Linked DNA regions of Cricetulus griseus. The protein of the gene in region 1 purifies or fractionates together with the protein of each later gene. This does not show direct contact. Links are inferred from orthologs where the notes say so. Each region holds a gene or a part of one and is shown on either strand. Other genes may lie near its edges. The genes, in order: Ciao2a and Ireb2.

Evidence for each region.
Region 2: the proteins of Ciao2a (region 1) and Ireb2 purify together in Homo sapiens (affinity purification with mass spectrometry; 3 studies listed by BioGRID and IntAct, with this or other methods). This does not show direct contact. The link is inferred for Cricetulus griseus from reciprocal best matches to the Homo sapiens genes CIAO2A and IREB2.

What each region holds. Positions count from the first base shown.
Region 1 is NC_048597.1:177,745,383-177,749,204, forward strand, and holds part of Ciao2a (cytosolic iron-sulfur assembly component 2A), read left to right. Parts: intron 1-702; coding exon 703-867; intron 868-1,717; coding exon 1,718-1,767; intron 1,768-3,822. UniProt on the Homo sapiens protein: Component of the cytosolic iron-sulfur protein assembly (CIA) complex, a multiprotein complex that mediates the incorporation of iron-sulfur cluster into extramitochondrial Fe/S proteins.
Region 2 is NC_048597.1:166,526,386-166,530,456, forward strand, and holds the end of Ireb2 (iron-responsive element-binding protein 2), read left to right. Parts: intron 1-217; coding exon 218-403; intron 404-1,074; coding exon 1,075-1,185; 3' UTR 1,186-3,352; downstream 3,353-4,071. UniProt on the Homo sapiens protein: RNA-binding protein that binds to iron-responsive elements (IRES), which are stem-loop structures found in the 5'-UTR of ferritin, and delta aminolevulinic acid synthase mRNAs, and in the 3'-UTR of transferrin receptor mRNA.

The DNA.
Region 1 (3,822 bases):
GTGTGAGCAAATTTGCAGCTGACAGTGCAGCACTGTCTTTCCCACTTCCTTGTTCTAAATCTTGAGGAATCCCTGTTCACTGTGGCTGGCTGTGAAAGATCCTGCTGGTTGGGCTCCACCCTTCTGTTCCACTCTTTCCTTACGCTGGGTTCCAAGCTGAGGAATGCCTGGTGGTTCTGTCCTCCAATTTAAATGTCAACCACCTAAAGGCTTAATCCCACCTTCTCTTCAGCCAGAATCCCCCTGGCGGGCCCTTGACATTTTCCCATTCATAGTCCCTTATGGTTTTGAATTAAGAAACTGGATATGGGCTAATAATAATCCAAGAAAATAGTTTTTTCAAAAGTAGGGGACATGTCTGTTGGGAAATTGGGAGTTGCTGAAATGTTTGTTTAAAAGAGAGTTAGGGTGGGGTGGTAGGGGCTGGAGAGATGGCCCAGTGGTTAGAGCACTCTGTTCTCGAAGAGGACCTGGGTGCACTTTCCAGCACCCACATTACAGCTCACCATTGTCCATGGATCTGAGGCCCTTTCTGGCTTCTGTGGGCACTGTGTGCACATAATGTACATACATATATAGAGGCAAAACATAACATAAAATCAGAGTAAATCTTGAAAAAGTAGTCAGTGCTTCGGTTGAGATGAGAAGACTAGCTCTCACTTAGGATACTCTAATTTAATACCTCGTCTCTGATGCCTTTAGATTTGATCCGAACTATCCGGGACCCAGAAAAGCCTAATACTTTAGAAGAACTGGAAGTGGTAACGGAGAGTTGTGTGGAGGTTCAGGAAATAAATGAAGAAGACTATTTGGTTATTATCAAGTTCACACCAACAGTACCTCATTGCTCTTTGGCAACTCTTATTGGTAAGGGTTTGTGTGTGTGTGTGTGTGTGTGTGTGTGTGTGTGTGTGTGTGTGTGTGTGTTTGTGTCAGGGTCTCACTGAAGCCTTGGCTGTCTTGGAACTTGATTTGTATTTATAGACCAGGCTGGCCTCAAACTCAGGGATCTGCCTGTTTCTGCTTTCCAAGAGCTGGGATTAAAGGTGTGTATCAACTATGCCCACCATGTATGAATTCTTTTTTTAAATTTAATATATATATTAAATATGTACTGTGGGTTTTGTTTGTTTGTTTGTTTGTTTGTTTGTTTGTTTTTTGGGACAGGGTTTCTCAGGCTGGCCTTGAACTCAGATTCACCTGCTTTTGCTGGGATTAAAGGTATGCACCACTACCTCCCAGCCAACTAATTATTGTATTTTTAAGAAACGTTTTATTTTTGATTTTCTTTTTTTTTGGGGGGGGGGGTTCGAGACAGGGTTTTTCTCTGTGTAGCTTTGGAGGCTGTCCTGGAACTAGCTCTTGTAGACCAGGCTGGTCTTGAACTCACAGAGATCCTCCTGCCTCTGCCTCCCGAGTGCTGGGATTAAAGGCGTGCGCCACCAACGCCCGGCACTTTGTGCTTTTTCTAGACCAGCAGGAAGAGTTAAAGAGGCCTGGTGGTGGTGGCACACACCATTAATCCCAGCACTCTGGAGGCAGAGGTGGATCTCTGAGTTTGAGGCCAGCCTGGTCCACAGAGCAAGTTCCAGGACAGCCAGGGCTGTTACACAGAGAAATCCTGTCTCAAACAAACAAAAACAAAATCAACAACAACAGAAAAAAAAAAAAGAGAGCAAGATAAAGAGATAATGGAAGTTTTTTCCCCCCGTCACAGGATTGTGCTTAAGAGTAAAACTTCAGCGGTGTCTGCCGTTTAAACACAAGGTAAGAAAGCTTGTTATTATCTTAAACCCAGAGCCTCACATGATCTAGGCCAGTGTCCTGCTGCTGAACCATGACCCTACTTCAGATTGTCTTTTATGACACTTGTTAATATATAATCCACACATCATGGAAGCCACATGAAGTGGACAGTTTAGTGGTTTCTGGTAACTCCTACAGAGCTCTGCAACTGTGTCGGTCAGAGTCACTTTTAGAACATTTGCATCGCCTGTAAAAGAAATCCTGTACCCAGGCAAGTGCGGTTATAGATAAGTGTAATGCCACCACTTGGGAGGTTGAGATGGGAGCTAGCCTATATCAAAAATGGAAATGAAGGAAGGAAGCAAGCAAGGAAGCTGGTCAGTCAGCCTAGAGTTACTAGCAGTAACTACTACTCTTATGCCATCCCCTCCTCTGTACTGGAACAACCATTTCCTGTCTCCATGATTTGCCTTGGGGCATTTCATTTTAATGAAGTTTAATGACGTGGATTTTTTGACTTAGTATGTTTTTGGTGTTTATGTTTTAACTTGTATAGGTGTTTCATTCTTCTGTACTATATAATATTCCACTGTAGAGAGACACCTTGTTTTATTTTACTTATCAGTTGTAAGACATTTGAATTGTTCCCTCTTGTTAAGTTAAAAATATTGTTTTGGGGCACTGGAGAGATGGTTCAGTGGTTAAGAGTACTGATTCCTTTTCTAGATCACCTAGGTTCAATGCCCAGCACCTACATGGTGGCTCACAGCCATGTGTAACTCTGGTGGTTCTTCTGACTCCAATGGCCATGCTGAACACACACACACATGTAGGTAAAACAGTCATACACATGAAATAAAATAAATAAATCTTTAAAAAAAGTATAATTGGCCGGGCAGTGGTGGCACACGTCTTTAATCCCAGCACTTGGGAAGCAGAGGCAGGCAGATCTCTGTGAATTCAAGGCCAACCTGGTCTACAGAGTGCCAGGACAGTCTCCAAAGATACAGAGAAACCCTGTCTCAAAAACAAAACAAAACAAAACTCTCTCTCTCTCTCTCTCAATATATATATATATATATATATATATATAGTTTCCCCAGTTGTCCACTAATATGATTTATGGCAGTATACCCTTCCATTACTACCCCTCCCCTCCCATCACACATTCTTGTTAGCTAGAGTCCATTTTGGCAGCTTCCCAAGTGCTAGATGCTAAGCACCATCAGCACACTCGGTGATCTTGACACAGAGTACAGAGCAGACATTTCATAGATTGTCTCTCACATTGAGTTTTCAGATGTTTCATGATTAGATTGCTATTTATTTTTGGCAAGAAAACAGAATAAACATGCTGCTATTACCTGACATCAAGAAGTGATAGTTTTAGTATTATTGATGCCAATTGCCTCCGGAATAAGGAGGTATTGCTTGACTCTTCATCTCTGTTTGTCACTATGTATCTCTAGCTGTCCTGGAACTCACTATGCAGACCAGGCTGGCTTCAAACTCACAGAGATCCACCTGCTGCTGTCTCTCAAGTGCCGGGATTAAAGGCATCTGCCACTACATCCAGGCTATGGCTATTTCAGAATAATGAGTCATGTGTAATTTTTAACCAAAGTGAAGGAATGGAGAGTGATACTCATGGGTTCAGTAAGTGTTCTGTGCCACTGGGGGAATCTGGACGGTGGTCTTTCTACTTGTGTGTTTGTGTGAGTGAGGATACATGTGTTCCATGGCACATGTGTGGAGGTCAGAGGATAACTTTCAGGGAGTTTCTTTCCCTCCATGTGGCTCCCAGGTATTGAATTCAGGTCATCGGGCATGCATGGCAAGCACTTCTACATACTGAGCCGTTTTGCCAGCCCATGTTTTGTGTTTTTAAAAGAGACTGAATGAGATGGTCTCTAACTCATGAGAAGGTCCCTGTTAACTGTAATAGTTCTGAGTGTTTTCCACTCAAAAAGCGTTGGTCTCTCTGGTGATTCTGTGCATCTGGGCACTCTGCACAGGCTTGCCTCAGCCACAGGATTTGCAGCAGTTTTGTGGTTGTATCAAAAGCTCTTGTGCTTA
Region 2 (4,071 bases), about 11 Mb from region 1:
TACTTAGGCAGATATGATGATATATCCTGCAAACTCAGCACCCCAGAGGCAGAATTGTCATGAGTTTGAATCCAATTTAGGCTACAAACCAAGATCTTCTCTAAACTAATGGTGGTGGTGGTGGTGGTGGTGGTGGTGGTGGTGGTGGTGGTGGTGGTGGTGGTGGTGGTGGTGGTGGTGATAAAAATAAAAGTGATGAAACGCATGTCCGTTACAGGGTGTAAAGGCTGTTTTGGCTGAAAGTTATGAAAAAATCCACAAAGATCATTTGATTGGAATTGGCATAGCTCCACTTGAGTTTCTCCCAGGAGAAAATGCAGACTCCTTGGGACTCTCTGGTAGAGAAGTATTTTCTTTATCATTTCCTGAAGAACTCTCTCCTGGAATTACATTAAATATGAAGGTATCTGAAAATTTCCAAATACATAATTGTGTACTCTGTACTCAGATAGGTGTAAGTTGAGTAAGAATTGTTTCTAATTGCATGCTAATGTCAGTGCATGTAAGCTGTAGCTTTTTGCTGTTAATCTCTGTTATTAATAGAGCTCATGTTGTCTGAGGAAAAGTAGAAGGAACTGGTTGCTTAGCCTAGAAAAAGATGCCTGGTAGAGGATTGAGGTTCAGTTGCTTCTGCCAGGTTTTCAGCTCTTTCTCTTTTGATCTAACTTTGACCCAGGCAATAATCCATTCCAGAGAGAAGCTAAAGTTCGGCATTCAGGGTTAGACTAAGCCTTTATAACTAAGGAAAGAAAGAAAAGGACAGAGACATTATATGTAATGGACACTTACTGTATAGTAAGAGTAAATAGTGAGTGATAACTTTCATAAAGGAAGCAAAACTAAGTCATGCTATAGAATTGCAAAGTCTGATACTTGTCCTTTAGAATTAGAGATCAAAATACCTGTTTTTCTATTTAGCTAATTGTTTTTAAATAATGGAAGGGTTTTGGGCAATCAAAATGTAGGAATTTAGACCAGGAAAATGAGGCAACAAATCGGGGAGTTAGTGGATGTGAATACAAATGATCTTATTCGAAGCTCTGACACTCACATATCTTTTTGTTTGTTTAAAAGACAAGTACTGGAAAAGAATTCAGCGTGATTGCATCATTTGAGAATGATGTGGAGATAACTTTGTACAAACATGGAGGCTTATTAAACTTTGTGGCTCGAAAATTCTCATAGTATCTACTTGCCATGGTATCTTTTGTGACTGGTAACTGCAAAGCCTTTTGTGCTGGATCCAGGAACCTTTGCCATGGAGCTGCAGATAATTCCAGTACACTTGTTTATGTCATCCATGGATGTAAATGATTATGAATCAATGTAGTGACTGAAATGAAATCTTGATTTTAAATAATATACGAATGGTGCTATTAACATTGCTAAAAATCAACGTGTGAAGTGTGTCGTGGAAGAGGCCTGTAAGTATGGGGGTTATATTTTATCAGAACATTTTGTAAATAAAGACAGAATTTGAACTTGTGTTGAAGATTCATATGAGTAGCCTTTCTGAAGCAGTTTGTTTTGTTTTGCCCTATAAAATTGGACTACTGTTTGTTGGTTTAAGAATAGCAAGTTGAAATACAAGAATCCAGATTAGTCCCTAAAATATTGGGAATGGCTACCTAATTTATAAAGAAATTTTTAAGTGTATTCTTTCCAGGATTGATTGGGACACAGTTAGCATTCCCAATTTGTAATGTAAGTCAAATTTACCCTTAGTCTCAGTATATCTTGAGTAATAGAACCTGCCCCAGATCACAGTCCCTCTGACCAATCCAGCCAAAGTTTACACCATGTCTGAGGATAAATAACTGCAAAATATAGATGATTGTATGGTATCATGTATTAGTAAAAAAATATCTCCTATGGTACAGCCCTGTAATTTTTCAGTAATTTGCCACTGTGACTCTCTGACAAGCCTTGAATACTGGTATATTAATTTAGACTAGATTTTGCTTATTTTACATGATACTATAACTTCTGTAACCTCAATTAGGTATTATCAACTGACATTCCACACTCCTTTTCTAAATGCTGAAAACAACTTCAATCAACTCTAGATTTCCCCTAGACTAATAAATAAATTATCTACCCAAAATTATATGGATATGCACCCCTAAGTATTTTTTAATGCTATTTTTTACAGTCCTTTAAGTTGACTTACTGCTATTTGAGTCTTTATTTGGGATACATCAGTCTTTATTTGGGATCTGTTCATTTCATTATAACTTGTTAATTTTTAATCAAAACTGACCATAAGGATAAGACTCTTGGTGATCATTGCTGTCTGCATGTCATGTGTTCCCAGTTGCATTTATATCTGTTATACCATATGCTTTGTGTTTTAAAACATTTTTTTAAAGGGTTGGAAATTTGTTTTAGAAGTCCCTATAACATTTTAATGAAGAAATTAAACTTGGCAGCAAGATGTTAAATGTAATGATTTTTAAAAATGTTTTCTTCATCTGATCTGTTTTTGTGCATAGCACAAAACAAAAGTACTTGTTTTATGCTAAAATTCAGCAACTACCAAACCAGTGGGTGAAGAGCACTGAGAACTTTGCACATAATCAGTCATACAGTCTGTTGAGAATATTTTTCAAATATGTACTTAGTTGAACTAGAGTTTGACAAAACAAAGTCTCTGTACTAAGTGGTTTTTTTTTTTTTTTTTCCTACTTTGAAATCATATTGTGTTCTGGTAGAAGCCATGTGTCTGTCTATGCATATGTATTAATCTGCATGGAAACCTGAGTTGGGAATGGAGAAGTTACAAATTGAGTATTAAAATACTGGTACATGCTTTGAAAAAATGGTAATTCAGGATGTATTTGTGGGGGAAATGACTTATTTTGAAAGCATACTCTGTCGATAGTCTGAGCTAAAGATGTGGACATAAACATATGAGAGATGATAAACCCAGCTATGAATCAAACACTTACATTTCTAGTCCACCTAGTCCAGTCATGGTATAAAAATTGTATTTCGGGAACAAAATCTTAATCTTATTCTCTTGCTTAGAAACAGTGAACTAAAATCTCAATAAGCACGATTTTAAATGAGGGAGGAAAATTAAACGCATGTCTCAATGCGTATGTATATTTTGTAATTCTGCCTCCAGCCAAATGTTACAAAAATATGCCTGTTTTCAATGTGTTATTTCCTTCATTGACTATTTTTAGTACTTTTGTGTTATTTTCTAAACATTACCAATATTTGGGAAAGGAAGTGAACACAAAAAAGCAAATCAGTATTGTGAATGTAGCGCAGTTACCAACAGCAGCATTTTAGTCTCAAGCATTGTGTTCCATGCTGTTGTGTGCCTTAGTTGTGTTGCTCATACAAATGAGCAACGGGTATCTCTTTCTCTGTGTTAGCACTTGGATGAGAGGCATCTCTTCACCTGACTGTTTGGATTTTCACTGGTATTAAACTAAAAGCTGTAAAGTGAAGAGCTCAGGCAGAGTCAAGTTATTTGCATATGTGATAACAATATAATGTGCATTCCTCTTCTCAGTGGTGACAGGATGAGAAAATTTGACAGTTTTCAGGGGTTGAAAAACCACCTTCCTTTTTGCCTTTGAGTCTAGGGAGAAGATACTAAGATACTGGATAATGATACTATAATTGATTTGAGGGGAAAAACAGGGAAAGGAAGTAGACTTTGACTGTTTCAATGGAATTTTTTCCCCTTCAAGGGGGACTGTGACTGTGCTGATGTGGTCTTTTTGTTTTGTTTATCAATTTTATGCATAATATGTGGCTATAAAACCATATATATCTCTTAAGTAACTACAAATCATTGTTATTTAAAGCCAACAAAATAGCATAAGTTTTAAGTTCAATAATGTTAAGTATTGTATAGAAATATATTGAAGGTAAAGTTCAGTTAATGAAATTGTGTATATGTTATTGATGCTGTAAATTATTTTTAATAAAGAAAATTGTATTATCACACTTGACTCATGTTGTAGTAACTTAGAGTAAAACATCATGACTTTGGAAATGAAAAGCTATCCAGAAATTAGAACATGCTTAATAAGAATATAATGTTCAGACTTTGTT